2 linked regions of the Arabidopsis thaliana genome follow. The protein of the gene in region 2 interacts with the protein of the main gene of each other region in a pairwise test. Each region holds a gene or a part of one and is shown on either strand. Other genes may lie near its edges.

Region 1 (15,121 bases), about 17 Mb from region 2:
GTAGAGTATGAAGGGTGGAGGCGGTGGTGGTGGTTGCGGCTCCTCTTCCTCCTTTGGTTTCTCCTCCTCAGCCGCCACTTTCTTCTCCTCCGCTACATCTTTCTTCTTCTCCTCCTCCTCAGCGGGGACGGCCTGTGGAGCAGAGGCTGCCTCCTTTGCCTCCTAATAATGAAAAGTTGAAAACATCAATCACCAATTAGTTACAAAATAGGTACTTAATTTGTTGTGGTTTAAAAGTATTGAAGGAACTTTAGATCTTACTGGTTTTACTTCTTCTCCCATGTTTTAGAATCTGTGGTTATAAGACGATTATGAATGAAACGAAGAAGAAATATATGTTATGGAGGGAATGAGTAGAGAGAGCGAGTATTTATATGAAACACTAGTATATTAAAAAACGAAGGAGAATTAGAATTATTGATGAATAATTAAAGTTATAGTATAAGGTAGGAGCTAAACAGAACATAAAGCATAAGAGGTTGATTCCATAGCACATGGCAGAAACTAATCATCCAACATATATAGACACACACCCCTTCACCCCCTTGTACCTTATATTTAGATTTATTCTCACCACTAATTATGTTTTGTAATTATTTTACAAACAACCTTTTCGATTTTCTTTCTTTTGCAATTTACTATTTTTTGAAGAGGGCCCGGAACAAGATGGTCCGAGGTCGGTAGGTTTTATAGGCATAGAATGTGGGTGTGCTTTGATCATGTACCTTGAATGATTGTATAATGGGCATCGTATTAGTTATGTCCGGATGTTGTTCGTTTTGTTGAGTCAGTTTTTTTCAGTTAGGCTTCCAAAATATGAAATTTAATCTTGTTAATTTTAGTTGTAAGATATGTGATCTTTTACTGTATTCAAAATCTACAAGTTTTTGCATGATAATTTAGTTTTTCACACCTCAACATGAGAAATCAAATTCTAAGTTTGATATAAAAACCACATATGTATTACAATATTCTAAGAAAACAATTTATTACTTGCAAATTCCTACCACTTAGCTTGTTCCTTTTCTTTTCATGTTATGTGGATTACTCCCTTCTGATATGTATATTTTTTTTTTCATGGGAGAAACGTATATTCATGATAACGCGGAAAACTATGTATAAATAAAAGGAACGTACCATGAGAAAATAATTTTTGGCATCGAAAAGGACAATACTTTGCATCATACTCACCGACTTTATTGGTTACATTTATATTGTTCCTCCTTAATTTTCTATAGTAATTTAATCTTTCCTATTCTTAATTTTAATATAACTTCTAACCCAATGTTAGTTCGAGAAAAAGATGATAAGATGACGTGTCATCATCTCTACCCAACATTATGTTGTCAGCTAAATAATTTATTTACTAAGAAAATACTTATCATTTACAATACGAAGAGGTTTTATTTTTATGTTTTATAAGTAATACATTACAAAGTTAAAAGCTAAATTTCACACACAAACTATTTTGTTTGTAGTGTGTAATGTAATCGAAAAAAAAAAAATAGTTCAGAAAGTATACTATTTATTTCTCATTGCAAGTAATTTCTATAGTTCGAAGTGGTTAGAAAAGACAAATCAAACTATAGTTGCATACATTGTATGAAACCATTAGATTAGTTTCTCTTTGTTCGTTAAAGCGGATTTGGTAGATTTGATTTATCTCCTTTTAGCAGAGGCATCAAAATCCTTTAACCACAAGTTTCGGTTACTTGTATTCTCGATACTAAGAACAATCTAATCAGTAGAAAACTCACTAAACAATGTGTTCTATATTTTCATAAAAATAGAAAAATAGTATTCACATTTCTTCAAAAGCAATTTTTGGGGATAGATGCAACATGGGGTGCCCAATAAAATGAAAACTATTAAAAATATATTTGGGTAGATTAAAGTGTTTGTAAAAACCCCTTGGCATGGTGGAAAAAGTAGAAATCACGTGGGATGCTTTAGATTAAATTTGGACAAATGAGAGAATAATTTCATTTTGTTTGGCAGTCAAGACTTAAGACAACTCTTGTAGACCAGTAGATGTTTGTTACTCGATTATGCGACTAATGTTAGTTTACGTGATTATGTGAAGTTAATGAATAAATTAGGGGCGTTTTATAGACAACACGTATATCATATATTTCTGGTTGATATCACCATCAATGTGTGTTCTTATCCGTCGTGCCCTATTTGATATATCGCAACTCAGACATTATGACATATTACAACTATCATATAAAGTATAAAACAAATAAGCTCGATAGTTGGAAGAACTATTTAGAAATTAAAGTGAACCTTTAGAGGCATTTACGGTTCGCCACTAAGACAAAATTAGCTATAAGAAAATGATAGATGAAAGTGTTCAGAGAATTCACTCAGATTCTTAATGTACGTAGTTGACCGGTTTATAATCCATGTTTGGTAACTTTCTAGTTAACTATATCTTTTTTACTTTTATAATTTTGTTTTGTTTTTGGAATTATAATCCTTTTTATAGTCTTTGTGAAGTAATCTAATTTTATTTTAAAAACTTATAACAGAAAAAGAGGTAAAAAGGTCGGGTCCATGTTTACATGTGCCCAAACACCTGGAGCTGACTCAGCTTACACAATATGCTGAATGTATACATTTTTGTGCGTATCTATGAGTCCATCTTTTATCCAAATATGATTTAACAAAAAAGTACATTTATTTCCATATTTCTTGGTGAGTTTGGCAATAATTTTTAATAAGTCTTAAAGAGTTACAAAATTTTAAATTTAGTATATCCACTGTATTGCTTATAAGAATGAAAGTATTCGTAAATAACAAAAATCTCATTTTTACTATGTAATTGTTTGGAGTGGATTAGGTAATGAAATTGAAGAATTTTTCAGGCAAATGATTTTTTTTTTGTTACAGAGGTAAATGATATTTTTAGTGTTTGTTATAAAAATATTAAAACGGTACAATAGAAATGTATTTTTTTCATAATAACCTGCAACGAAATTTTTTTTAATGTAAAATGTTGAATATCCGTTTCGAACGAATAAAAGTAACATATAAAACAATTTTTCATACACAACAGCTGAAAAATGAATCACTTGTATTTTACCTTGTGTCCATCTCTAAATTAGTTTATACTTTCTATATTATGCTACAAACTAAAATTGGTCTCCATCGTTTGGTAAAACTGATGATATTATCACTTTACTTGTAGTAAAAAATTCCTCTAAAACTGCGAATTTGGACTTAACTTTTTGGTATACCTGCTATAAAATGAACTTTAAGTAATAATAATTGACATGTAATTTGTATCCGATCGTTTTCACAGTTTGAGTCTCAATGTATAATTTACTTTTGACGCGCACTATCTTTATGGGTTTCAACTATTGTTTTATCCAAATGGACCTGAAAAAATCTCAATGTTGAGACTTGAGTGGTTTGTATAACTCAAAACTCAGCAGATGTTATCGCAGATCAAAAATCAAGACAATAAATAACCTCTGGTTTTTTATAGGTTAATTTTACGTACTAATGGTTTTTGCATTTGTTAAATAAAATTGATTTATGGAAGATTTTTCAGATCGTTCTGGAATTAACATGAAGTTCCTTTTATACCAACCGGCAATATGCGACTTTAATCTGATTCAAAAGTATATCCAAAAAGTCAAAAATACAAAAAGCCATATTGACTAAACCATATAAAAAAATAACTCTATGCCACAACCGAATTAGTTTCTCTGCTAAAATAAGTTTATAGACTCTCTTTTCTTGTCATCCGTTTTTAATAAAACTTAAAAGAAATTTATAGACTTTTGTTTTATGTAATGTGCCATGTTAATGATCAAGCATCGAGTCATTCATATCCACTATTGTATATTTACGCTTTAAAAGTGTGCATCACCTTCTTTGGTCATTATAAATTTATAATCGAAATATTAAATTGATTAAAGAACATGATACGTGAATTCTAAAAATAGTTGAGATAAAGTTAGTTGGTGTTCGGTGCATCGCATGTGGAGACATGAGTCCAACTGCAATGGCGTTAAGATTCGAATGCACATATTTTATGCATTTACGATGTTTTTATATATTGGAAAGAATTGTATTTTCTTTTCTTACTCACACATAATTTTGAGTTTTATTCAAAGTATGATACAACATTGATATATACTACTTATATCAGCTAACACATTTAAAAAGTCTAATAATTGTTTTGGTACTTACGTATTTTGGGTTTTATTCCAAAGCAACACGACAGTAATATTGATACAAACTGCTTCCTATGTCTTATTGTAAGTGTTGTTTAATTTTTTTTACAGATATCAAGAAAACAACTAAATTTTGAAATTTTATTCTTGGTCCATACAATTAAGTAGTAAGGATACAATTATTCTTGTAGAAGCCGGATTTGCCAGAAGAGGACCGGCCATCTTTGCTAACAAAGCCAAAAAGATGTCGGGCAAAAGCCCAAAACTTGGGACGGCAGTTTACCAGAATAATCCGGTCGGCAGAATTCAACAGTTCCTCTCTCTAAAAGATATGAAGGAGAGAAAAGAGAGGTGATCATATTATTTGAACTATTCAAATATGCATTCTTTTGTCCAAAAATTTTGTAATATATTACTGGGCATACTTAATGCCATAAAATACCCAAATGACATGTTTAACAGTCCATACCCTCAATCAAACCGTCCTATCATACTAAACATGTTTAATGATATACGAAATAAACACACCTCTAATAAATATCTCTACCCGGTCGGTTCGTACTAACATGTTTGACACCGTTTTCATTACGGTGCTACCATTCGAACTCGTAGTTTGTTTCTGATTGTACAAGGCTACTAAAAATGTCAAAAACGCAATCTCAAGACACATGTGGTCAGGAATAAAAAAATTTCCAAACATTACCATCTGAATATTATGAGTCGTCGTACATGTTAACTACAAGTCTACTACACTCCTAAACCGACCATGGTTAAGCTTAAGCCGACAAAAACAACAACAATAACAACAGATGCAGAACCAGGCCAAAACCCCTGTTATACACACAAATCCGCGCTCTCTCCACCCGTAAAAACCACTTTCTTTATTCTTACTATATGAATTGATCGGAACAAACATCACATTCAGCGGATTTATGCGACTAGACTGCAGACCGACATCACACACACAACCGCTACCACACCGACTCTGAAAAGCCCTCTGTATGAACATCCCATGGCTGCAATTTTCTTGAATATGAAACTAGTCCTGCTCTTTGATCTTGTGAAATTTCCACATCCTTTCGTCATAGTTTCCGTTGTTGTGTCCTTAACCTATATACATTTTATCGCATAAATATAAGGATCATAAATTGTAATACATGAGAAGGTATGAAAACAAACTTCTTCTCACCTCTTTCTTGATAAATTGAAGTTGTGTACTGTCAGTTTCTGACTTGTGGCTGTTAAGGTTAACCTGAAGACGCAGCCTTCTTGAGGCATCGCCCTGCATTACAAACTGCTCAGCACAACCCGGGGCTTGTGCTCGTCGAGCTCTAATCTTAATTCCTCTCTTAGATTCATCATTGATCTTGTTGCATGAGCTAAGATTCTGTGGCTCATATGGGATCTGTTCTGGCTCATAGGGAATGTCAAGAAAAGAATCCAAGAACTTGGACATATATTCATCCGCATCATTTGTACCGTACTGAGTCTGAATGTAATCCTCATTGTGGTTTTTGAACAATTCACTAGACTCAGATTGTAAGCCATTGAAAGAGGAACCGAGCTCAGATTGCACCTGAGAGTGCAACGGAGAGAACAGCTTCGGGGAATCAAACTCCATAAACGAGAGCCAATCGATATCGTCAAGCTGTTGAGTAAAATGAAGTTTGTAAGTTTACAAAGCGGTTGTACCGCCTCCTGTAATGAAAAGAATGTATTTTGTTCATCCTTACCCCGGTGGTTGTAACCTCAGGGACAGAGTATCCACTACGACATTCGCTGGGGATTACAAGAGAAGACTCTGCGACGTCACAAGGATTAGTCTCTTCTGTTTTAGGGAAAACAGGAGATACCTCAGACATTTCAACCTCGTCCACAACAGTTGGAGACGATACCGCTGGTTCAACTTCACATGACTTTGACTCTTCTGGTTCAGCAGCTCCGTTCACAATATCTTGCTTCTTAAACAACTTACAAACAACAAACGGATTCTGCAACCAAAAACAATCAAACAAACACAATCAGAAACACAAAAGACCTACACACACAAGTTAATGCCATCATTTGCCAAGTTGGTTTTTACCTGGCCAGACTTTGTTCCATCAAGATCCTTCTCAGTAGCACGATACTCATGCATAATCCAACAAGTTCGTGTCCCTTTAGGAGCACGACCTGTATAAAACACTAGAGTCCTCTTAACACCTATAATCTTAGTCTTTCCTGATTTGATCTTACGGTCTTTTCCCGTCGCCTTCCAGTATCCAGCCACAGTAGCTCTATTCATTCGACTTCCACTCGGATATTTCCGGTCCAAAGGACAAAAGAAGAGCCACTCTGAGTCTGTTGTCTTCACCACAGAAAAATCTACACCACAAATACTAAAGTATAAATCTTTACTCAAATTCACTAAGTCCACTACCTAAGCTAAGAAGTTATTGATCATATTGTTCCAAATTCAAACATGCATAAACCGGAATTGAAGCCTGGGAATTGCTAAACCGAGACTAAAGAGCTAAAGATGAATCAACGAATTGATTTGATGAAGAAAGGAATTACCAGGCAAATCCCAAGGCTCCCATTTGCAGATATCGATCTCACGAATTACTCTAACGTCGTTATCGTGACCGTTGATCTTGAGCCGGAGATAGTACCGGACTAACTCTTCGTCCGTTGGACTAAATCTGAACCCAACCGGTAGTGAAGCGAGCGATAGTACTTCCATGTCTTCTTTCATAGTTGCGTGAGACTTTGAGAATTCGAGAGGAAAAGAAAAAATCACAAATTCGACTTCAAGGTGATATCTAAAATGAATTTGGATCAAAGATGCGATTCAAAGGTATATAGAAGAAAACTAAGAAAAAACCAGATTCCAGAATTTGATGAAGTACGAAAAGAAAAAACCCTAAAATTTGACACGATTTGGTAAAGTGGAGAAGAAGGAGATGTGACACGATTTGGTCAGACAAGAGAGATATCAAAGACAAAGAGATGAAAAAGTGGCGCGTGGATAGGCGTACCACTGTTTCCCAGAAAGTCATAAAACACAAAACCACGTTCGTTACGCGTAAAAGGCAAAACAGAATGTAAATACCTATTTTACCCCTGAAGTATTGCAGTAAAATAGTTACGGAAATAGGGGTTATATGAGTCAAAAGGTGAGGATGTCTGAACGAGAGATGTCACCTAGCGAATCATATATTGACACGTTGATGCTATAAAGGAAGCTTCGTGATAGTTGTACGGAAGTTAAAGAAGAATTAAATAAACTTAATTGGTATCATATTGATTTACCAATATGAAACAGTTTACACAACTGGCCAGCCCATCTTACTAATAGTGTTTGTTGTTAAAGCCCAATAGATGAGAACCCAATTCAACCATTTTTTTTTCTTGGTCGTGTGAAGTCTGAATCAATTTATTTAAACCAAATAATGTAAATCAAATAGGTTTAAACTTTAAAACGTTTGATATCGAAGTCCGTTGGTACTCAAAACTAAACCTCAAAAACAGAGAAGAAAGTAGCGAGCGAAAAGGAAGATCTTATTTATCTAAACTTAACGTTCGGCCGTTTACAAGATATGTTTACAGCCAAGCCTCGTTTTAAGAGATACAACAAGAATAAAACTACACAAGTCAATTGTCGAGCTTATGTCTTTGAATCCGAATGAGAATGTTCTTGTACTATTCTCGTCCGACTTCAGGTGTCCTTTTCTGGCATTCCTCTGTCAATATTTATAGTACTTCAATGAAAGTACACAGTACCATTTTCTGAGCGATATGAAACTTCTATGGCGGCTGATCCTTTCCAGAAAATGGGCCTCATCTCGCAATGGGCTGCGGCTTTCTCAGGGGGGCTGGTCTTCATCATTCTTAACTGAGGTTTTCAATGACTCTTTGTTTGGGCCTCCGAATGTTAAATGGGGCGAAGCCCATATCCAACAAAGTTTATCTAAGTCATTGCTTTTTGTTTTGTTTTTGGGTTTAGACCTCTGCGTTTCTAGTTTGAGGATAGTCTCTTATAGTGTTTGATTAGTTGGAATGTAATCTTTTACAACCATAATTGTTTTTGTGAAGACCAAATTGTTGTGAATTAGTTTTAGAAAAAAAAAAAATCTTGTGACCGTAAATCTTATATTTCTACAACCTAAAACCATATGTTGTTATAAGTTCTATAAGTTATATTTTTAATTTAATCTCTCTTTTATTTTAATTTTATTTCCTCATGATCATTTTTTATGTGTTGCTTATATAATGTACACTAGGCACTAGATGGATATATACTAATAGTATAAATACCATGTATAGTTTTGTTTGTTAATGTATACTTATGTATAAATTTTGAACAACATTTGAACAAAAAATTTATATGTATATATTCTTTTCAACTAATATGTAGTTATTATCCGACTAACATATAAACTATTTTACATGTTTATATAGATTCCATTTAACCTATATGTGCATCACAAAATTTGTGTTGTTGTTTATTATATAGTTTGGTTAACTATAATATTTTATAAAATATTTACTAATCATATTTTAAGATACGACTAATAAATTTACTTCTAAGACTTTATATCCCTAATATCTACACGTATAACAATAAAATACACGGTTGCATTTTACACGCTGACGGTCAAAATTTTACAGCGAATAATTTACGGTGACATGCCAACCAATCACTTAGTTACTAAAGACGTTTACTTTCTATCTCAAAGTTCAGTTTCTGGAAATATTTTATTTTCCGTTGTTTAAAATCATAAATGTATGTAGCTTTTAAAATAGTTTTTGGCTTTCGAATTTTAGTTTGTAATTTTTTTTTTTGGTGTAAATGTTAGTTGTTTGAAAAATTTGAATGGTAATTAGATGTGGATTTTAGTTTAGTTTTAATTTATTTGAAAAACAAAGAAAAAATATTAAAACTTGAATATGTGGAAATCTCTCTTTTTATTTTTATTTTATTTAGAAAATTATGTATTTCCTCATGATCCTACTTAGTGGCTATGTTCTATCTGATCAAAATTTAAGAAGTCACCAAAACTACAAGTTGTTAAATTACTAAATATCTCATGATGATCCGACCCTACCCAATTGCTCTTTTCATTTTATTATTTTGTTACACTACCAATATTAAACATATCGAATCAAGATTGTGCGAAACACAAATTGTCCCACGGTATATCGTGGGTTAAATCCTATATCAACGTTAGTTAAAAAAATATAGAAAACCACCCACTATATATATAGTGTTTTAAAAAAAGATTAAAAATAAAAGCTCCAAAAATAAATACATATTTAGTTTTACTATTATGGATTCTTAACATTTGTCCTAACTACAAAAGGGTTAAAGAGATCTCAAACAATTAATGTGGTTGACAGAAAAAATAAGAAAAATGTTACCTCCGAATACCATATATTATAAACGGGGAAAGAAAAAGCTATAGAAGTAGAATTTATGAACATTTTTGATCCAAGTCCATATTTGTAATTTGTTCTAAATTCTTCGTAACTTTTAAAGTAAAGGGTTGAAAATAAACATGGAATATATATGATCCATATATACCATATGCATATGCAAAATTACCAAAAAAATATATATATCTTTGACATCAGTAAAATTGACAATTTTACGGTTAAATGACAACAAATTTCTTCACTTGGTTACAGAGTGACACTTTGACACGGTTCAACTACCATTGAACCTGAATCAATACAACTTACAAGATTTGTATGTTCCATTGAACAAAACTCTCTTCAATATATCTGAACCCCTAACCATTATCAAATTAAAAAAAAACTACTAAACATTCTGAGCTAAGCTTCTAATCTCGGGCTCCTCCGCGTCTGCGGCTCCAACGCTACATTTCATCGAGTCAAACGTTAAATCAAGGAAGTACAACGAACAAACAAGAACGCAACAAGTTATGAACATTGGGATGGGACCAAAGATCCATAGGAATAAAGGCGAGGAGAAGTAGAACGCTCGTAGTCCTAACGACCAGAAGTAACTCCCACGGTTAACCGTTGCAGCCACATAATCTTGGTTTATCATAAGACTACCATTACCACGACCACCTGAAGAAACAGCCATGAGCTGTTTAAAGGGGACATTGATAAGGATGCTTGCATGGCTGTAATAACGAATTGATTGGACATTGAGGAGAAACGCGACTAGGAAACACACGAGGATTGCGAAGAACTTGAGCGAGAAGGCTCGGTCGCTTTTGTCTCCAAACACAAACCAGACTGATCGCTCTCCTGTAGCGCTAGTCATTAGTACCGCGATTAGTGAACATAACATTATTGCGGTTGATGCTAATAGAGTTGATGCCATTATGTTGTTCCTTAGCGTTTGAACCGCTAAAACGCCGTTTTTGGATGAGTCCTGTTTACAATAGTTGTTAACGGAACATAAGTTAGTACAAGAAATCTCAAATCCAACAAAAAGTGAAAAAAATTGGTGGAGGAAATAATGTAATTATAAACATTTTTTTCAAAAAAAAGTTTCCCAAAAATGCAAAGCATCTTTTGAGTGTTGTTAGCTTTCACACTTGCGGATTCATTTAGTAAGGAAATGTTCAAAATCTTGCATTAACGTAAAGAACTTTAACATAATTATGTTCACATAGAAAAGAAAAAATCTGAGCAAAAGAAGAAAGAAAAACAACTTGATACTGTTTCAACTTTCAATATTAGTATCAATTTATGAGGTGCATGCATGATGATTATACTTAGAATTATACTCATATTTATATATAAACCATATACTAAACTTTATATATGCACATAGTGAGATAGAATCTCAACCTCACATCCTCCAATCCAATACAAAAGGACCTGAAACTGTTGTCAGTATTTTCTTTCCCAGGAAAATCTCTACACATGCATACACTTATCATTTATCACTTCTTATTCAATTAATTCATCTTTATCGTTATGTGTAAATCAACACTATAAGCAATTTATATAAACAAGATTCTCCTTAGTTATCATCTCCAACAACCCTCAAAATATAAAACCAAATGAGCTAAAATAATTTTGCATTTTCCAGGAAAAAAATGATCATATAACTCATGTAAAATTAAGTAGAGAGATCAATCATATATATTTGACTAGAAAAAACAAATCTACATATGCATTTTTATAACCAAAAGCAAATAAATATGATTAAAAAATAGTAAAAAGATAGACCTCCATCATGGCTTGGACCCAAAGGCGGCGATTGAAGGCGTTAAGGCCAACAACAGTCGAAGAAGGACGGTGGATGATACGGTAGAGAAGCCATAGATGATAAAAGACCATCAAAGCAAGCCCTAAAGGCACAAGTGTATAATCTAAATACTCACGCTTCATCTTCTTAGATCAAAGATTGATCACAAAAAAAATCTAGAAAAAAATTGAAGGAGATTGAGAGAATCAAAGTAGAGTACGGGTCTTACGTGGACCTTCCCGTATCTAATGCTATATTTTTCTCTCAATTTTTGTTTTGAGCTTTCCGGATTCTTAGGCGTTTCCTTTCACTCTATACCTCTATTTATAGATTTGAGTCTTTATGTATAAACGTGTGTGTGTGTGCGTTATTAAATATGTGTACAAATCTCCAACTTGTAAAGGAAGAACCCTATAGCTGTTAAGTTTGGACCAGCCGTTGCCATTTGGCATTCGGATTTACCAATGTTTTTGTTACCAAACATATACTATATTTAAAAGTAATCGACTAATTGATATATATTTGACATCTAGTTGAATTTTTTGAAAGAACTCCTAAAATCCTAAAATCCTTCATCATTTTAAGTTTTCACTCTTATTATTGGATGCAAAAATCTAGTGTTACAATTTACAAATAATTGCTGTAACCACAAATACTAAAAGTCAGTAGCAATTCATGGGATTTCCGAAGCAATGTTAAACTATAAGGACTAGAAAAATCATACATTTTATTAATTTTACAAAAAAAAAAACAAATCAGAATTTATTAAAATGGTGAAACATTTCGAACCCAATTTGGTTTTCTTGGATCTTCCATATTTAACATATATATATGAAATAGAGGTATTCTAAAACATAGAATTGATTTTTTATATTAATTCAAAATTACCACAAAATATTTAAAACATCTTCAAAACTTTTATTGATAAGTCCTAAATCATTTGTAGGAATTTTAGAAAATAATATATGAAAATATGAATTTTATAGGTTTACTCTATATATAGATTATTCAAAATACAAAAAGTAAACAATACTATTAAATTAACTAGTTTCGTATCCACAACCTTTAATTTATTTATGTTAACCATTTGTAAATCTAAAGGTCCATTAATTAGTGAATTAAGAAAAAGAAAAAAAAAGCATGCAAAAGATGTATTTAATTTTGTTTGTCAACAACTCACACTCTAAAAGTTTTTTTCTTCAACAACTCACAACACAAAGCATGCGAAAAGTTTCTTTCACTATTTTCAAAAAATGCAAAAGATATAGTATCTATTAATACTATGACATAATCAAATAATAAACAAATTTTAAATTAAAAATTTTCATTGCAAAAGATATATATTTTATAATAATAAAAAATACTCTATCTTGAAAAACGAGGATACGGAAAACATTTGTTTGGCAAGTTTATATCAAAATAAATAAATTACAGCCTTTCATTACAAAAGATATATTTTCTAATAACAAACATTCTATAATAATAAAAATAAAAATTTGATAAACTTTACAATAGATTTAAAATAGCTAAGTTTGCAACAAAATAAAAATAAAAATGAATGTGGCGTTTAATTGAAAAAGACCAAAAAAGGAGAAAAATGTGAGGAAAGTGGAAAACTTTTGAGAACATGCACGGCCCACTAGAGGCCCACCTACTTTCTATGACGTCTCTCTCTTCATTTCACAGCTGATTTGGCATCGGTATATTCCTCGAGGATTCCCCACCATAACAATGTTGCCATTTTTATAATTATTATTAGAACAACAATAACAACTCACTTACATAAGTTTTCGAAAAAGACAGTAAATTATGGTGATCAAAAGTTGCTCAAGGCATTAAGAAAATGTATGATTCTGAAAATTGTTTGTTCTAAATCACATAAAGTCTGTTTGTTCTAAATCACATAAAGTTTTGGGCTTTTAGCAATTACTATATATATAACCCGGACGTTAAAAGAAGACCCGGACGTTAAAAGAAGAGTAAACTTGTTTCTTCTTTGACTTGGAGGAAATATTCTTTTAAGAATTTAATTTATTTGTGTACGTTTTTCTTTTTGTTAAATTTTTATTTGTGTACGTTGTGGTACCACTTGGTAGAAAGTAGAGCCGTATATGTAATATGTGTCACTTGCATGTTCATCAAATTTCAACAACTACTATCACCAAGTCTTAAAGAGTAATCCTATGGGAGGCTCGAGGAGCTAAGAAAAATGCTTATTAAGATTTGAGATTAGCATTTAATTGGGAGCGTGTGACATGTTACCGTTACCATTAATAAAAGACTTTCGTTGACTTGTTATGAAGGAAATTTAATCAGTCCGTGTTATTTTCAACTATTATTGGATCGGTCTTGAAGTTAGCATCCATACCTCTCTTCACGTGGGTTTATCTATTAGGTTTACACGTGGTTTATACATACATGACTCTTTGTAGATACATTATTTAGGGTCTGATTGGATAACATTAGAGTAATTGAGAGTACAGTAATTGGGAAAAGATGTATCAGGAGGAAAAGAAAAGTGATAATTAGAGTAAAAGAGAGTAAAAATATATAATAGATTTTTTAAAGTAATTGGTAGTTAATAAGAATTGGGAGTTATTAGAAAGATTGATTAAAAATATATTTTTGTAATCAAATTGTAAACTATATTAAATAAAAGTAAATAGCTTACATTAACAAAATTTAAAATATGTTCCATTATAATAAATATAATTTTAAGTTATAGTCTACTAACGACGTTGAAGTTTACGTTTGTTTATAGACGATAATTATTATGCAATATGATCACATACTATACGCATATATATTCCTGACTCTAATATATATTCGTTTTTGTTCTCAGTTTGACTTGATGTCTATTTTGAGAAGAGTTTCTTGCATGTTTAACTAGTAGTCTGTTGCTTTGAAAAGATGAGAAGATTTTTCTGGTCCGAACTTTTTCACTTTCATTGATTTATGAGTTCAAGTTAGAGATATCCTCTTTCCTTATTTCTCTGAACTAACTATGCGTTTTATTACAGGTATTTTTGGACCTGTTTTTGAGTTGGATTATAATGAAGAGACTACAACTTATATAACCTTTATCCATGTTAAGATTAGAATTATGATCACATATCGTCTTATATTTTTTCGAAGAGTTCAATTTAAATCCATGGAATGAGCTATGCTAGGATTTGGGAATGAAAGGCTTCAGAGAATTTGTACCAATTGTTGCCTTATAAATCATCATGCCAATAATTGTCCCCTTTTAGTTGCTCATGTGGTTCAAGATGATGAAAAAGATGTTCTAGTTGTGGGCCTGTTTGGAAAGAAGGTATTGGATCAAACAATCTTACTCATCAAACTCTTGTAAATAATTCTGAATCGACATCTCCTCATACTCACCAATATCCTAGCCTCCTCCTCCTACTTCACCACCTTTACATGACAATGAGTTTAATGGGGGTCTTCACCCTCCGAGGTTTCCTGCTTCAAGTTCCACATCTATGCATTCCTTTTCATTCTCTTCTTCTGGTCGAAGATTTTATGGTAAAACACGTTATGACATAAATGAAAGCTCTAAACGTAAGAAAGAGAAACAAATTTATTCACATCTATGCAAGCATTTATGCATCCAACATATAAATTCAAGTTGGATGCGATAAGATCAGCTGCAATCTTTTAAGTTTCAGTTGTTGGTCTCATTGAGATTTGTTATGATTTTGCTATTTATCAAGTTACCAATTTA
Region 2 (17,872 bases):
GTCGCTAAAATCCCCACACAGTTCGATGGGAAGACTTTGGGAATCACTGCCCGTGATTCTTCTACTCTTAGTTCTTCTTCTTCATCAATCAGTCTCTCAGGTATTTGAAGATCTTACGTGCTCTATCATCTATATTCATGATTTACCGATTCGTTGTTTTTCTTCTTCTTCTTCTTCTATTGATCTATAATCAATGAATTTTCATGTTTTTGCTCTCTCTGTAGGGGTTTGAAGAATCTGAATCTACTAGGTGAATCTCTAGCAACTCCACTTGATTAAACTCGTGTCTTTGTACTCAAAACAAAAACTTTAAATTAGTTTGTGTAAGATTATTCTCAATTTCAGCTAAACATGTCTGATTTATATTGATTTGTCTTGTCCTGAAATATAGATTGGTTAACGAAGAAGTAGAAGTTAGTAATGCTCCAGAAATACATTGTTCCCGAGAAAGAAGTCGAGCAGCTTGGCAGATTATACAAGATGTAAGTAGAGACTATTCAAAAACTGAATATGTTTCCTTTAATTTGTGAATTTGTTTGGTATTAGATGGTAAGGAGTAGATTTTTGATTGTTTTTGTTATTTGGATTTTTTTCTGCAGTATTTGACGCCATTTGTGGAACGGGAAAGATATGAAATTCCAAAAAATTGTAGGCTGCATCCTGATAATGATTTATACAGAGATCAGGAACATCATAAGGTTCATGTTGATGTCTTCGAATGGAAATGTGGTTACTGCAAGAAAAGTTTCAATGATGAGAAATTTCTTGACAAGCATTTCAGTACTAGACATTATAATCTTTTAAATACGGTATGTCTTATATGTTTCTCATCTTGAGGATAATGAAATTCTGTTATTTAGTGATATTTTGCTTGTTTTCAGACTGATACAAAGTGTTTAGCCGACCTGTGTGGTGCATTGCATTGTGACTTTGTATTGAGCTCTAAGAAACCCAAGAGCAAGTGCAACCCTCCTGCTGTTGCCAAAAACCGTCATCTCTGCGAGGTTTCTTTCTTTGATTCTCTTTTCATTATTATTTGCTTTTTCCAGCTCTGGTTCCATGACTTGTTATTATTATCTTTCGATACTAATTTTACTTGTTTATTCACTTAGAGCGTTGCCAATAGTTGTTTCCCAGTGAGTCAAGGTCCCTCAGCTAGTCGTCTTCATGGTATGATTCCTTACTAAGAAACCTTCCAAGTGAATAGTTGCTCATTGAGATGATTCTTAAATAGTTCCTTGAAGTGTGCTCAAATCACTGTCTTTGATTTTTATTTTTCATGATCGAAGAACACTTTTTGCGCCAATTCTGTGATGCTCATACCTGCACTGGAAATGATAAACCCTTTCCTAGAGGAGGCAAGGTATGATCTCTTAAACCGTCGCAGTTACTTATGCATGCTAAATGAAGTTGTTAATTATTTTTTAAAGCAACTCTGTTTGCATATGCTTCTTCTATGCTATCTGTTTCTTGTGAAAACCAATATAAGGGAATATGTCAGTCTTCTGTTAACATCTTTGTCTATACTAATTTGTGCAGAAGAAATCGGGTGTCTTCTACCTCGCCATTTCAATATTGACCTTGATGCTACTCCCACTCTTTTATCTTCTAGTCTTCTTACATCAAAGGTACCGTATGGTGTTACTTGTTTTTATTTTCCATCATTGCCTTATCTTCAGAAATCTTTGGTCACATTGCTGTTTCTACTGTCTTTAACAGAGAAAAGAGAAGCGGAACACAAGATTTGCGTCGTATTATAAAATCTGGAAAAAAAACAAAACCGTCATAAGATGGTAATCCTCTCAAGCATTGGATTATTGAATGTGTACACAATTCATTCTCTAGACATTTTATATCGAATCGTTTTCAGCTCCTAAAGTCACTCTTGTTTAACATTTTATACAGGTAAGCTTCAAACTGCTCTTGAGATACAGGATGTTCAAATCCGATATTGGTTTGGTGAATCACAAATCTTCCTCATTACTTCTCCATCTCAGACCTTTCCTCATTTGGTGTTTCTCAAACCAGAGACTTATGGATTCCAAACGAGAGTATTTCTATGTGGTTATGAAGCTAGTTGCTATGGATATCAGATGGATTACATAGACAAATGATTTTTCTGTAAGCTTGTAAAAACAGATGATTCCTTCCACAAAATAGGAATAGTGATTAGATTTTTCTCTGTAATTTTATCGAATCTTCATACATATCAATGATAACATCAAGGTTGAAACACAATCTATAACAGTAAGAGTATAAAACAATCTTTCTTGTTAGTAGCTTTAAGGTTTAAGGAGCTACCACGCCAAACGATAGAGATATCAACTCATTAGAGAGGAGAAAACCATCTGGATCTTTCAGTCTAAGGTACCTCACATGATCCTCAATCTTCACTTCATCATTTGCAACTAAGGTTTTGAATTCATCAATCATCACTTCGCTTCTCATATCATCCAAACAAACAATGTGCCCACTCTCCACATAAGGCTCATAAACTTTACAGATTGATTTCACTACCTCACTGCCAAAAGCTTCTCCAAACTCCTTAAGTTCAAGCCCTTTAGATGTTCTGAAAGATAGCATTAAGATGTCTGTTGCAACATCCTTAAGATCAACATCACCATTTCCACACCAGTTTGCTGCGCCATTCTCCAAGTCAGCGACATAGTTTGTGTATTCCTTTAGCCTCCTTGGCCTTGAAAACCTCAACCCTCCAACATAACTCGCTGAACCTAAACCGAAAGCATAGAATGGCTTGTTCTTCCAGTATATCAAGTTGTGTTTGCACTTGAAACCGTCTCTCGAGTAACTGCTGACTTCATAATGTTCATAACCTGCACCACGGAGCATCGATGATGCTGTTTTATAAAACTCTGCAGACTGTGTTTCTGAAGGAAGAGGGGACTGTCCTGGAGTGTACCTACACAAGTTCATGAACCCAATTCGTTTCTGTTCAGATTACATTCAAGTTCTTAAGCATCAGTAAGCAAACTTGAACTACGTACACTTACAAATTTCCAAACTTTGTGCCTTGTTCGACTTGCAGATCATATACAGAAACATGATTGGGCTGTGATTCGATAGCTAATCTCAAACTCTCTTCCCACATCTCCAAAGTCTGGTGAGGCAGAGAAGAAATAAGATCCATACTCCAATTCTCAACTCCACATTCTTTAACAAACTCTATTGCTTCATACACTTGAGAGACACCATGAGCTCTTCCACAAGCTTTCAAAAGCTCATCTTGAAAAGCTTGAACTCCTAAAGACACTCTGTTAACTCCCAATTTCATCAAATCCTTCAGCTTCTGACCATCAAACGTGCCTGGATCCATCTCCATTGATATCTCAGCATCTGGACTCAGCCCGAAATTCAAACTCAATGTTTCCAGAATCAAAGAAACAAGCTTCGGAGGAACAAGAGAAGGCGTCCCACCACCGAAAAACACCGTTTCTAGATTCGGGTTCGTATCAAAATCCGTCCTTGTCGCTTTTATCTCTCTAACAAGCAAATTCACATAGTTCGTGATTCTCGGGTCATCTTCTTTTCCTTCCTCGTAGACATTAGACGGTCTGGCTGAAGAAGAAGACATGCCTAGAGCTAAGATAGGAAAGTCACAATAATGACAGCGTTTGCGACAAAACGGAAGATGAACGTAGGCTGAGGTTGGTGGACCTTTGTGTAACGTAGTAAGATTGGTTGACGCATTTCGTCGAGCACTTGGTGGAGTATCTTGTAGAACAACCTTACTAAAAGCTCGAAAAAACAACTTCGATGAGCACTTGGGTTTACCTGTAAACGATGAGAAAATTGGAGAAATCGTTGTTTTCAGCATAATTACCAAATAAAACGAGAGAAAAAGAAAGAGAGCCAGAGAGACGAAGAGAGAAAGCTTTCAAAGATCAAAGTTCACTGGTCTCGTTTTATATGCTTCAACGTCGTCGTTTTAGTCAGAAAGTAGACTCACTAAAGACTTGACCATCTAATTAACACACTAATTACAATTGAAAAATATTATAATAAGAATGAAACGATTATTCACTTATTCAGACGGAAAAAAAAATGGCGCTAGAATCGATAGTCTCTCTCTCGGAGCTTCTCTCTTCCCTTCTCTCGTCGAAACCACCGTCTCCGTCGAGTCTGAAACCTATCACGCTTCCGTCTTCCGTATCCGCGAGAACGTCACAGCATTTGTCGATGACGACGAAGATTTTAACGGCCGAGCACGATGACGTCATCAATCGAGTGGCGTATCCTTCGCTGGCGAACGCGAATCTCGTATTCTTCAAGTCCAGTTACTACAACGTCGAGGTGGTGCCTAAAGACGGCGAATCGGAGGAGCAGCTGGTTAACGATTTCAAGAGGTCGTGTTTCAGAGCGGGTGTGTTGCAGGAATCTCGAAGACGACGCTTCTTCGAGAGCTCTCTGGAGAAGAAGACGCGGAAGACCAAAGAAGCTGCGAAGAAGTATCGGAAAAGGTCAGATTTTTTTTTCACTTTTTCTTCTTTCTTTCGAAAAACACTTGGAGAAGTTGAGTCAATAGATTTTGATTTTACAGGAGACCAAACCCTAAACCAAAACCACTATCAACTTCAGAGATCCGCAAGCACAACAGAAATGCATCCAGAGAAGACGAACAAGACGATCACTGGGAACTTCCTCCTGAGGACATTGAGATTCCATATACCAACCGGTCTTAGAAGTAAACCGGAATGATATTCCGGTACACTGATCTGAGCAATCTTAATCACGCAGCATCTGCGTTTTGTAAAGCCACTCTTTTGTATGTTCTTTTAGCTTGAGATTAGAAAATTTTCATTGCTCGGTGTAGAGTGAAGATGAATGATTTTGGAGGTGTCTGTAACGTAGAACCAAATGCAGATGAATCTGTAACTAGTTTTGATTACATGACAAGTGATCACAGATATGAGAAGAATCAAGCCATAGATTGGCAGTTATATTATATTGCCGCCCAAAATCAGGAACAAAACACCAAAGCTCATCATCGGTAACAAGAAAACAAGTAAGGACACCATTATAATTGACTCTGTCTTCTCAAGGATCACTCCCTTAGCCATGTAGCTAGAGCCGAATCCCACTTGCATAGCTCGCCCTCTTTGAACCACAGACCTATGCCACAACCACAAGAGCCAAAATGTCAGCAAATGAAAACTAAAAGTTTAGCATACTAAGGAATGAGAGTGATTGGTCAAACTAAGTAAATGAAGAAGTGATAGTAATGGTTTAAAACAGATATATTGAACCTAACAATTTCAGTAATCAAGTATGATCTAATCTAGTTATGTTATCAAGTTAATTTGAAGCAGTTTGAACCACGTTGATTTGCCCCTAAACTGGACATAGTCAATGTCTCAACAATGAAAGATGGGTGAATGATTTGAACAAAAAACAAGAAATCTCACCAATCTCACGCTTGCCGTTTTCAGGGCTGTCACTACCATGCACAATGTTCCTGCAAATTGCATAATTTAAAAATATCAAACCATGAGAATTATTTTAAGTGCTTACTTCCAACAATTTTAAAGATGATAGAAGTCCAACCTTCCGGTTTGCACAGCAAGATCTCCTCTTATAGTACCAGGTTCAGCTTGAAGCGGATCTGTTTTCCCTATTAGCTTCCTGGCTGAAGCAACAACACCAACACCTTCCCAAGCCTTTACCAGGTTTAAAACATCACATGCAATTAACTCATCTAATTACAACTTGAAAACAAGTAAAAATCAAATTAGAGCATAGTTATACCCATACCATACACACAACTGGACCTGAAGTGATGTACTCAATCAGGTTAGGAAAGAATGATTTAGCACTAAGATCCTTATAATGCTCCTGGCAATTGAGATAAACACACAAGAATATTAATTATGTCAATCGAATATGAAAAAAAAATGAGGCAGCGTCATCTTACGCAAATGTAGCGAATAAGTGAAATATGCAAGTCATGATCAGGCTTCAATTTCTCGATACTTGTCAATGATTTATTAGTTATATCACATTAAGAAGCAATCTAAAGTTATCAAACTACTGATGTAATGAGTGAGTGTCAAACCTCAGCCAATTCTTTTGGGCACTGAAACATCTTGAGCCCAATAAGTTTAAACCCCTTTTTCTCAAAGCGAGAAATGATTTCTCCTACCTAAGAACATCAAATGAATCATACATTCATAATTTAAGCCAAGATAGTGTAATGAAATAACATTCAAAGCTCCATAGAGTTCCAAGATACATAATTTAACCTCAAAATCAGAAGAAGAAAAAAAATGAAAAGCAAAAACGCTTACAAGGCCTCGTTGTATGCCATCAGGTTTCACCATAATGTAAGTCTCCTCAACGTCCTCCTGAAACAATACAGAAAACAACGTAAGAACAATCAAAAGGTCACTAAATTGCATTGAGATTCATCAAATTAGAATATATCCAAACTAATTTGAATCCTAAATTCCTGATTTCGGAGTTTAATCAATGTAAGTACTAAGAAAACAAAGTAATTCGCATAAATGGAGGGGAAGCACACAAACCATAGAAGCTACAAGGTGAGGAAGGAAGATTCCCGATTCGGCGGAGCTGGAAGCGCGAAGACGGCGGCGAGACGCGGAATTGCGAGAGAAAAGACGGAACTGAGGACGAAATGCGGCCAACGCTGTTCTAAAATTAACCCTGGCTGGAGAACAGTGTGGATTGAGACTTGCCGAGTTTCTCTCCGGCGGCGAAGCCACACATAGGGGAGTCCATTTACTAACTACAGTCGCTCCCACCATTTTCTGCGCTTTGTCTTAGCTTCTCTCAGTGTCTTCGCATCATCATCTTATAAGAACAAAGTTAATTGACATAAATACCCTTTATCCAGAAGCGAAGATAATTTGGGTTTAGTTGATCAATCAAAAAGTATCAGTGCTCAGAAGTAATTTAAAAAGTGATCTCGAGTACAAAGAGTGTCTCGTTTAAATGGAGGAAACAGACTCTTTCTCTTTCCCTGTACAGTTTACTCTTCTAAAAGATTAAAAAAAACAAAAGTCTGCACATTTCAACAGTCGCACAATTTGCTGCTTTAATACCAAACCAAACCATCTTTCTTGTAGCAAAATTGTTTTTTTCTTTTTCTTTTTTCGTCGATTTAGAATCATTGTCAACAGAGTCACGTTGAAAAATAGGCAATACAGACTCATCGTCTTGTCTTCTAGATGTATCTGGCTTTGCCTTTCTTTTGCTTGCTTTAGCCATTTCACGCCACATCAAATTTACATTTTGTGCATAGAAGAATCAATGCGTAAACATCCCCAACTTTTTCTTTTCATCTTGTTGCTTTTAACAAGACCCGGAAAAAAGACTTCATCAATCAATTTCTACATCTATATCTTCCTCTCCCTGGTCAACAAGGTCAGTTTTTTGCCCTGCCTTGTCCACAACTTCGGTTTCTACCTTTCCATTGCCATCAACTACAGTTTCGTTTCCTCCCTTGTCCGAAACTTCAGTTCCTTGCACTCCCTCACCATTGTCAACAGCTTCATTTTCTTCTACCCCCTTTTCGACAACTTCGCTTTTTTGCTCTCCCAAGTCGACAACTCCAGTTTCTTGTTCTTCTTTTTCAGTAACTCTACTTTCTTGCTCTGGCACATTCGCCAATTGTTCTTCTCCTTCAATTTTATTGATGGATTTTTCATCTTCTTGGTTCCCATTATCTTGTGTCTTTTGGCTTACCAGTTCTTCGTTTCCACAATCGAGTTGGTTCTCTCCCTCTTCTCTGTGAGGACTAAGTGTTTGTCCTTCACTTTTGTCAAGGGAAAGTTCTTTTCCTACTCCGACAACTTCAGTTTCTTGCTCTCCTGTATCATCATCTCTACTACTTTCTTGCTCTAGCACATTCTCCAATTGTTCTTCTCTCTCGCTTTGATTGATTTTTTCATCTCTTTGGTTCTCATAATCTTGTGCCTTTTCGCTTACCGATTCTTCATTACCGCTAGCACGTGGGTCCTCTCTCTCTTTTCTGTGAGGACTGAGTGTACGCCCTTCACTTCGGTCAAGGGGATGTACTTCTTCCACTCCCATATCAACAACTTCATTTTCTTGCTTTCTCATATCGACAACTTCAGTTTCTTGCTCTTCCTTGTCACCAACTCCACTTTCTTGCTCTGGCATATTCTCCAGTTGTCGTTCTATTTCATTTGGGTTTATGGGTTTTCCATCTTCTTGGTCCCCATTATCATGTGCCTCTTGGCTCACCGGCTCTTCATTTCCGCTAACGAGTTGATCCTCTCCTTCTACTCTGTGAGGACTATGTTCCTGTTTTTCACTTCTGTCAAAGGGATTGTCTTCTACTTTTCTCTGGCTAAAGTGTGGCGGGTCTTCTTCTTCATCCTCATCCTCATCCATTTTCATATACAGACCTAGATGTTCTAATGGATTACTGTTGCTTTCCATCTTGAAACTACCCAAACCCAACATATCCTCACTAAACTTGGGACTCATCACTTCCATGGAAGTCGGTAATTGATCACCTTCTGTACCTGTAGCTCTAAGCATCTGGAGGTCTTCCATAAACCGTATGCCCTCGTTTATCTCCACTGTCTTTTCCATCTGCAACAGACCAGAAAGTCATTTATCATGATTGTACACCATGGTAGGGCTCTGAATAATAGAAGAGAAACTCGAAAAGTCTTTTATACCTTTTGTAAAGCTTGACGTGCAGCTTCTCTCTCTTGCTCTCTTTCCCTCCTCGCTTTTTCTGCGGCTTCTGCTTTGGCTTTTCTCCGAGCCTCCTCAGCTGCTTTGGCCTCGGCTTGTAACCGTTCTTTTTCTAATCAAACGGAAATCGCAAGAATTAAAAATAAAAGTATTTAGTTAGGAATTATGGGTACATAAGCACACTCGAATGCACTACAATCCAACCTTCCCGTAGCCGTTTTTCAAACTCCTCTCTTTCTATCCTCAATTTTTCAGGATCCCCTTTTTCACCCTGAAATTTGATGCATTAAATTTTTTGATTAAAACAATCCACAAGTTCAGGCGAGCTTTTTCGTCAACACAGTAGATCGGACACTTAAAAATTCAACCTTGGTAAAAGCCTTCTCTCGAGCTTTCATAATGGTATCAGCAAAACGATTCTTCAAGAAAGCCGCGCGGTAACGCTTATCTGGGGAATCTGGGGAAATTTGCCTCTCAGGTGGAGCAGTCTCCTCTATAATACCAAAGCATGACAGGTAAACTCATGATCTGAAAATAAACATCTATTACCATCTCCAACCTTCCTTAACTTTCATTTCTTACCATCTGGAACGAGAACTACTGCATCCATGGTGGTTGACTTTTCCCCAACAGTATGCTCAAGTTGATCCAATTCATTCAAAGAATCTACAGAGAACAAAGAATGAGTGTCGGGAAGACTTCTATATCCGAGCACTCCAACTTGCATACATCAATTATAAAGAGACTAACCATTTACAACTATCTTCTCACTGTTGCTATCATCCTCTTTTTTGTCTATACCAACTCCTGGTTGCTTTTTTTCCTAAATTAAAGAGGAGACTATACTTATTTTTCTGTAGTAATTTCACTTTTATGATTGCAAATAGTCCATGGAAATATTGGTGAGTAAATGAAAAATCTTGCAGAAATTAGAGCAACATCCAAACACAGAGACTCCATAACATAAGTTATTCCACTGTTAGATATACCTCTCTACTTGTGGGTTTTGAAGCTTTAATAGAATCTGTTTCACTCCCAGAGGAACTACAAGAATCAGAATCTGAAAGATAATCACAGAACACATCAGTATAAAAAGCACTTCCTATGAGTAAAAATAAAGCAAAGGAATCAATTCTACAGTTTGCCAAACCACAATGTAAGAACTTAATTCATTCGTCATAAACGATAACCACAGAAACTAACTATAATATCCTCTATAGCAAGGGAATAACCACACTTACTAGAGCAGAGAAAAAGCATCGAAAAGATAATATGGGACACGACGTAGGCTCAAATTACAAAACAAGACTCAGGAGTCCAATACTAATCATTTCAATAGAAAAGTTACTTTATTTCCAATCTTAACTATTCTTACAAACTGTACAAATCAATGCACTATTTAAGAGAAACAAAATGATTATTCTAAGGAAATAGAAGAAGGCTCGCATAAACACGAACCACTAGATGAAGAGCCTGATTCACTACTAGAGCTACTCGAACTGCTGCTTTCATTATTTCTACATGCAGCATCTTTTTCTATCTTAAGAGGAGGATGGCTTGAGACCGAGGGGTCATTCCCACCAACTATGTCAACATCCTCGTCAATTTGCAGATCACCTGTGATTATGAGTACATCAGATACTCAGATTACTGAAGGAAATCATTTTCGACATCAAATTAAATAGCAAAAACATACCTTTACTAGGCTGCAAAGGGGAATTACTGAATCCAGAGTCATGAACAATCTGTAAAAGAAAAGTTAAAACCAAAAGTCAAATGTCAACATTTCCAAGTGCACACAAACGATTACTAAAAATAATCAGAGAGGTTCTTTACCTCCATCTCACAAGGTTCGCTCTTTTCCATGGATTTCTTTTTCTCCCTTAAATAGTCATCCAGGAGTTTCCGAACCATGAACAAGATTTCATCAGAAAGCGCTTCTATATCTATCTCAATCTCACCTTCTCCAGATTGACCATCACTGCCACTTTGCTCTCTCAGGAGATCAGCAATCTTTTGAGGGAAATCTTCTTCTAATGCCATCAGATCTTGGCCTAATTTTTTCTTCTCACCATCTGTCATGACCAACTTAGCAGGTTCCACCCTCAGCTTGTTATCGTTCATTGCAGCTTCCTTCTTTCTCATCGGTGCTACTTCGAAAGGGATTTCAGACTCCAGAGAAGCAGAACTGGTTAGGGGAATAACTGGTGGTTTAGACATAGGTATTTTTTTCTCTATACTTTTCCATCCCGATTCAAAATATTTACTGATACCCTGAGCCATAGTATGGAACTGATTTCCTGGTGGATTGTAAGCTATAGAATTTGAAAATGTAAGACGCACATCTGCTGCAAAGTCCAAAGGACTAGAGTATTCACCTTTACACAGCCTGCTTCGTATCGTTCCAAGATCCATTGGATGTTTAATCACATTAAAATAGTCTGGAATATTCAACATCACTGGATCAACTGGAGTACGAAATGGCCACCCCGACTTATGTGACCATAAACGATTGAGTAACGTCTCACACTCCTTCATCACTGAAGCAACAGTATAACTTGTTGGGACATTTAATCGAGATGGACCTTTCTTATTCCGCTGCTTATCACTGCGCACAGGAGGGCGCTTTTTGCCCTGTGACCCAACAAATGTAGCAAAGTTTTCTGGTGGCGGCCTCCTAGGCCCATCACTGCAGCTATGATCATTGTATGGCGACAACAGAACAGTGTCTGAACTGAAAGATGCAATCTTCTTACTAAGGTCCCTGACCTGTTGAAGCTCCATCTTCAACTTGTGAACTAAATTCTTTCTCTCAGACCTCGACATCTTTGACAGAGACAAAACCTCTTTAGAAACGCCATTGTTATCTCCATTCAAACCAAAACGTCTCCTTTTCAGTGGAGGAGACGCCTCAGAATTCATCCTCTCTGAGTAAACAAATTCATCAGGCTCAACAGCTTGCATGTAATCAGGAACAAAGCCTGATGGTCTCCCTCTAGAGTGTTTCCGCGCTTTACCCATCGTTTGCTATAAACCAGAAACCCAACAGTTCATTCGCTTTTCAGAGTTAATCGTCTTCACACCATCAAATTAGAATATAAAACAAACTAAAAAAAAAAATCAAGCAAGTAATGCTTTTATGCCTTTGCTCCAAAAATCTTGCAGATATCTTCAACAATGAATCTATAGACACCATTCATCGTTATCGAGCCAAAACACAATTCCCCGAAAAAATATCACAAGAATGCGATTACCAAATCAATCCGATGATGAATTCCTATGAATTGCACGTTGACTTACCAAACTGAGAATCCCAATTGGTCTAAGCTTCTTGCTTCTCCCTCAGGTCAAAATCAAATCAAATTCACCGAAGAAGTATCTTCCTCAACGGCAATTGGCAAAAAAGCTAATCGAAACCCTAGAAAAACCCTCGACTGAGTCAAAAAAAAGGTACCAAAATCGATTTGGAAAACCCTAGATCGAGAGCTTCTGGATATCTTTTCGAATGGAAAACTAAAAAAAAATTCGAAAAAACGAAAGAGGTGAGAGGAGAGAGAGAGACTTACGAAGAATAACGAACAATTTGCTTCTCTACTTATAGATCCGAAGAGATGAGCAGCCCGCCGCCTTTAATCGAATCTAAGCCGTTAAATTCCAGCCAACCAAATCTAGACGGCTACAATTATCCTTTCGATATGTACCGTCGATATTTAGATCTAACGGCTGTGAAGGCTACGGTGCAATCTAGTGAATCTGGATCTCTAATTGTTTTGAGAAAAGATCTTGGAGCGCGTGAGTATTAATACTCCAAATCGCAAGAATTAATAGATTACACGTGTTACTATAGCGCGTGTAATAGACGCGGATACCGACCGACATTGTCTCCACTATTTTGACTATTTTATCCACTAAACGCGCCCTGTAAATAGCGCGATTGAATTACACGTGCCTATGAATCTTTTGATTTTCAGGCCCATTAGTGAATATCATGAGGCTACCCATTAGTAAACTATTTATTTTTCTACGTAATGCTCTTGTATGGGCTTGGGAAGACTGTTTATTATGTTAACACCTTTGCAAACGAATGTTGACAATTTCATCTTCAAGCTTAAATGACATGAAAACGAACAATGTGAAAAAGAAAAACTTTAATGATTGTAAAAGGCATACATATATACAACTTTCTTGAAATTTTTAAGCAAAACAAAAAAAAACATAAATTTGAGATTAGCAATTTAGAGAAAACAGCATTTTATAAACAAAATACTAACTAAAGAAGAAAGCAAACTAAAAAATAAAACACAGAAACATATGTTCAAGGTGAAAATTAAATAACCAAAGTTTATCACTTGCTATATTTTTAGTTCTACGAAGGGCCATGTGTGATACGATACGATCGGGACCATTCATCATTTTCACCATTGTAAATCCAACGGTGGCGAATGAAAGAACGTCACAGACACAAAGCTGCCTTAACGTCAAGCCTCCACGCAAAACCACCGCCGTCCATTCTCCACACGTCACAAGGCACCGTGACGGATCCTCTTTCTCGATCTTGACACGTGTACTGTAATCTCACTCTGCATGTGAAAGCTGGGTACGTTAGCATCGGCCTCTCCTTCATCACTAACCGTACGTTCACGTGAAAATTATCGTAACTAATATCCTCCGGTACACCTTCCTCCATCGGAATATTAATATCTTCTCTAGCCATCTTCTTATACGCCTCATTGGTCCACGTGACTCTCCCTACACCGTCCGATATAAAACCAGGACACGTGTCTTCCACTAGATTCATCTTCCTCTCCTGATTTGTCTCCCCTAATCCATAACCGTCGATCCAAGCGTCAGTCACACGCTCAACCGTCACACACGACGAAACCACCACCGTCCTTCGTGATATCTCCGCCGTTTTGTACGGCGTTAAAATCTCACCACCGCCGTTGAAACTCAGCCATAAAGGACCGTTTCGCTTCTGCTTCTCCACCGGAAAAGCATTCAGATCTGGAAAAACTCGTTTCTCAGGCGTCTCTGGTAAAAGAGACAATGTAACCGCCGTGGTAGTAGCAGTGTCTCCACTTAGATCTCTCTTCTTCTTATTGCACCTTCGGGAGTTCCCACCGGAACAATCTTTTTGATACTTTCTCTTTCCTCTCCCAGATTTACCTGAGAGATCGGAGCTTCCACCACTTGTAGTTGTGGTGGAGCCGCTCTTCCCGGTGAGAGAGACACTTCCACCGTCGCTGGCCGGTTTAGGAGCAATGGGACGAAAACGAAGCATGATTCGATCTGCTTTGGAGAGACCGTAGCGACCACCGTAACCACCATATCTGGCTATGCAACAACCTCCCCTACCGTCCATGATCTCTCTCTGTATATATCTTTCTCTCTTAATAGGTTTTAGTGGGAGCTTTGAAGAATAATGAAGAGAGGTGTGTGTGAAGGGGTTTATATAGGGACTCTGAAGATGACAAGTGTTGGGTTGATACGCGTGTCTTTGTCTAGAATACGCTTATCACCGTTGCACTTGCACATGCTCTTTTTCCTTCTGTAATGGACATGAAAAATGAATCGAATTTATGTTTAAAACTATTTTCTAAAACGACAAAAAAAACTATTCAAAAATGGCATGACATAGAAATATAATTAAACTTGTACTATTTTTTTTTTATCACAAATTAAGCAGTACTTATTGTAATTTAATGTTTTAAAAATGGTCGGTGTTTTGTTATTGGAAAATTCGAAGTTCTCAGTATATTGGTCTAATTAATATTTGACATGAAGGTATATATTTGATTCTTATATTCGGTTGTTCAATCAAAGCGCGGATGAAAAAAATATGATGTTAGCATTCGAGATTTTTATAATTAGACGTATACATAAGGAACGGAATTGAGAACCTAATCTGGTCTAATAGTATATAATTAATTAGTAGGTCCCGTGGTTAGCTAATAATCACTTTGACCCTTGTGTTTACTACTTTAGTACCTGAATAGTATACTAATTTGTTTGGCCTAAAAACAGATAATCATGAATAAATGCCAAAATTAGGTTAAAATATAGTACATCGAAATGAAAAAAAAAAGGTAATGTTAGGCATGGTCCAAGAGATGAGGGTTCATACATTATCATTGACCGATTCTGAATTTAATTTAGTGGAATATAATCTTAATCAACTAAAGGTGATCGTGACTCTAGATCTCAAATCTTTATTAACGGGACAAGGTCGATGATCTCATGTCCAAAGAGGAATTTTGTGCCAATGAAGTTAGGCCACCTCTTTTATGAAAGGGAAAGAAGGAACATTGGATGGCGTATAAATAAAAATCATGAGGGAGTGACGGTATCATGGAGCCATCTTAAATATAATCATACAATTGATTCGGAAAAAGTATATATGGACATGAGAGTCAAAATCTTATTAAAAATCCAATATAGTAACATAGAAATAAAGTAGATTCGGAAGGCAGTTCGAGATGGCATCAAGAAAAATCTGATGGGTTTGTGTTGCGTTGTACGTTGCACGCAAGAGGACACGTAGAGATATGTAATTAGCTTATCAACTTACAACTATAATTTACACAAACAATCTCATTATTTAATTAACCAAGGCTTAATAATTAGTCCATATATATTTATACATTCATGAATGTGGACGAAACTGATGACTGATGTTGAGACTTGAGAGTTAGGTTTGATTCTTTAACATTCGATATCTCATCTTCCATTTTTCGTTATTACATATTTTGTTGCAAGGAAAACACGATATACCGTATAGAGTTGATGTAGCTAAAGTTTTAATTCAACAATGTAATCTTGATCATTAAAGTATAGATGATTTTAGTGGTTCTACTTGACGTCCCTACAGATAGTAAATGCAATTATCAAAAACATGTCATAGTTACTAAAAGAAGAAGGATGCACAAATACAATCTTTTTGGGTTGGATCAGATCAAATTATATTTGGCTTAAAGACATTGATTACTACGTATATATTAAACAAATGAATAAAATTGACTACCTTTGCTCTCACCCTCACCTGCTGATTCTATACCTAATTAATTATATAATACGATAGCCAACAGTTTCAACATAAAACCACCATCGAAACATACTACTGATATAATATGCATATGGGACAAATGAAAAATGAAAAATATAACGGATGAATAACGAAAAATGAAAAATATCATTAATGATATAATATGCATATGGGACAAAGCAATCTTATCCGTTACGGACTATATAACATATCATTTCTTAATCATATATTATATACGTATATATATAATCGTATATCATCAGTAATATATTTGTTGTAAGAAAAACACATACTGTATATACATGACCAAAAACATTTCGCTTTATGCATTGATGTAAAAAAATTAAAACTATACATAAACACATCAAAAATTACAGACACTTAACAGATGTACCATGTTTTTTTAAGAATCAATAGTTACAAAATTTGAGAAAAAGGTGATATTTTGTCATTTCGTTGGATATGAAGGAACCAATGATAAAACATCGTTAGTTACTAATTCAAACAACAAAAAAAAGAACCCCGAATTTAAATGCTCACCATCGACAAACCTTGGCTATTTATTTTATAAATATAAGACAAGTACTAAATCCTATCAACACTAAACAATAAAATCGAACATGTTCACCCAATTATAATCTGACAGCTGAAGAAGATAAGGAAATACTAAATATAGAGAGGTTCGATGACAGAGAGAAAAAGGTAGACTGAATCACCATCAAAACCACGCCCAAGAACCCTAATTGGGGAAAGTGGCCAAATGAATTCTCGCCACGTGTGGATCTGATGGTGTCAGAGTCGGTAAAGTTTAAAAAAGGTAATGTGTGATGTCTCGATAAGGGCTTTTAAACTGGTCGTTTTGTCTGGGACACTTGTACAGTTTTGGAAAGGAGGACCCATGACTAGGGCATTCTTTAGTTAATTTTAAACTTGATAAATCAGTATTTCGTTTCTATATATTTGTTTATGAAATTCTGTATCATTAGAGAAATCAGATGATGTGGCAATCATTATCTGTTCTCTTTAATCGACCAAAGGTTCGAACAAAATATCATTGTTGGTTATCTGATATAGAGAAAACTAATTTAGAAACCTCGTTTTGAAAAATTCCAACTACAATATGAGATTTGATTCTACAGGAGTTTGGAATATGGGAAAGGGAATTTACAAAAGTGATTGTTGAAACATTACCGATTGTTAAATGGTAATAGACAGCTGAAGCTGCACAATGACATATGGTAAGGAGCTGGGAGCAAAAGACTAAGGACCGAAACGATGCAGATCATCTCGCAAAAGAAGCTTTTCCTCATATTGATCACTGTTGTGTGTTGTGTAATATCCTTTCTGTTTATGGCCTCGTCAAAGGTAATGCTGATTCTAGTTTATTCGTTATTGAAATGAACTTGATTTAGCTTAGCTGTTTACAGAAGTTAAAAAGAAAGGAGGACAAAGGGTTATAGTGTTGAAGACAAACTTATTTTAGCTTCTTTCTATATAGCTTTTTATCCCAAATCCCTTAATTCTCGGATTAACATGAAAAAAACCACTGCCATACCTCCTATGTCCACAGAAACTCATCATGAATCATCTTTTTCTCACTGCCAACAGACCAAATACGAGCACCTCAAAGACAAAGGGACGTCGAACAACAAACCAACATTGATAACAGAGCGTGGTAAATAAGTAATCAAAATAAACTTACTGATGTCAACTTCCATTCTCACGTTTGTGATAAACTCTTTGCGTTTACCTCGTGAATAAAAACAATGCACAGAAGAAATATGAGGACATAAACAATAACCATCCCAACCCAATTACTAGAGAGAGAAAGTGAATACTGAGATCTCTTCCATTAAAGCATGTGAGTCAATAGTGTGTACAACTCTTGATAGCAATAACATTAGGGTCCTAACGAAAAGAGAGAAACACACCTTTCAGTTTTACGGACCACTCATATTTACACATGAATCCGAATAAATGGTACACTAGAATGCCCTGAATCTCCAGGCAACAAAGCAACGCAACTGAGTTAAGAATAGATGAAAGCAAGTCTTTTGAGTAAAAAGGAAAATACCAAAATACGACCAGTCGACTTCCCTGTGTATTTGTTGACATCCTCTCGTCCAA

What was found.
Region 1: the proteins of NPX1 (region 2) and TIP interact in a two-hybrid assay, tested with the Arabidopsis thaliana proteins (one study listed by BioGRID).

Annotation. Positions count from the first base shown.
Region 1 is NC_003076.8:8,411,806-8,426,926, forward strand, and holds TIP (TCV-interacting protein), read right to left. Parts: upstream 7,272-15,121; 5' UTR 6,919-7,271; coding exon 6,741-6,918; intron 6,549-6,740; coding exon 6,268-6,548; intron 6,176-6,267; coding exon 5,918-6,175; intron 5,833-5,917; coding exon 5,374-5,832; intron 5,295-5,373; coding exon 5,115-5,294; 3' UTR 4,570-5,114; downstream 1-4,569. Other genes in the region: AT5G24580 (Heavy metal transport/detoxification superfamily protein), read right to left, coding at 1-162, 262-282; AT5G24600 (TRP-like ion channel protein (Protein of unknown function, DUF599)), read right to left, coding at 9,985-10,569, 11,376-11,537.
Region 2 is NC_003076.8:25,367,060-25,384,931, forward strand, and holds NPX1 (nuclear protein X1), read right to left. Parts: upstream 12,188-17,872; 5' UTR 12,154-12,187; coding exon of another isoform or gene 12,050-12,153; 5' UTR 11,994-12,049; coding exon of another isoform or gene 11,835-11,993; 5' UTR 11,725-11,834; coding exon 10,540-11,724; intron 10,449-10,539; coding exon 10,400-10,448; intron 10,321-10,399; coding exon 10,162-10,320; coding exon of another isoform or gene 10,121-10,161; exon of another isoform or gene 9,764-10,120; coding exon 9,693-9,763; intron 9,527-9,692; coding exon 9,454-9,526; intron 9,370-9,453; coding exon 9,286-9,369; intron 9,197-9,285; coding exon 9,072-9,196; intron 8,975-9,071; coding exon 8,908-8,974; intron 8,816-8,907; coding exon 8,685-8,815; intron 8,596-8,684; coding exon 7,354-8,595; 3' UTR 6,896-7,353; downstream 1-6,895. Other genes in the region: AT5G63280 (C2H2-like zinc finger protein), read left to right, coding at 26-100, 225-250, 392-482, 600-809, 882-1,004, 1,113-1,170, 1,290-1,363, 1,540-1,628 and 1 more; AT5G63290 (Radical SAM superfamily protein), read right to left, coding at 2,290-2,920, 3,012-3,835; AT5G63300 (Ribosomal protein S21 family protein), read left to right, coding at 4,063-4,716; NDPK2 (nucleoside diphosphate kinase 2), read right to left, coding at 5,063-5,130, 5,424-5,473, 5,563-5,675, 5,770-5,850, 6,071-6,157, 6,303-6,359, 6,540-6,779; AT5G63340 (uncharacterized protein), read left to right, coding at 11,835-11,993, 12,050-12,153, 12,305-12,495, 12,551-12,615; AT5G63350 (von willebrand factor A domain protein), read right to left, coding at 13,157-14,065; AT5G63375 (uncharacterized protein), read left to right, coding at 16,981-17,110, 17,244-17,428. UniProt on the Arabidopsis thaliana protein: Acts as a negative regulator in plant response to changes in environmental conditions through the control of ABA-regulated gene expression.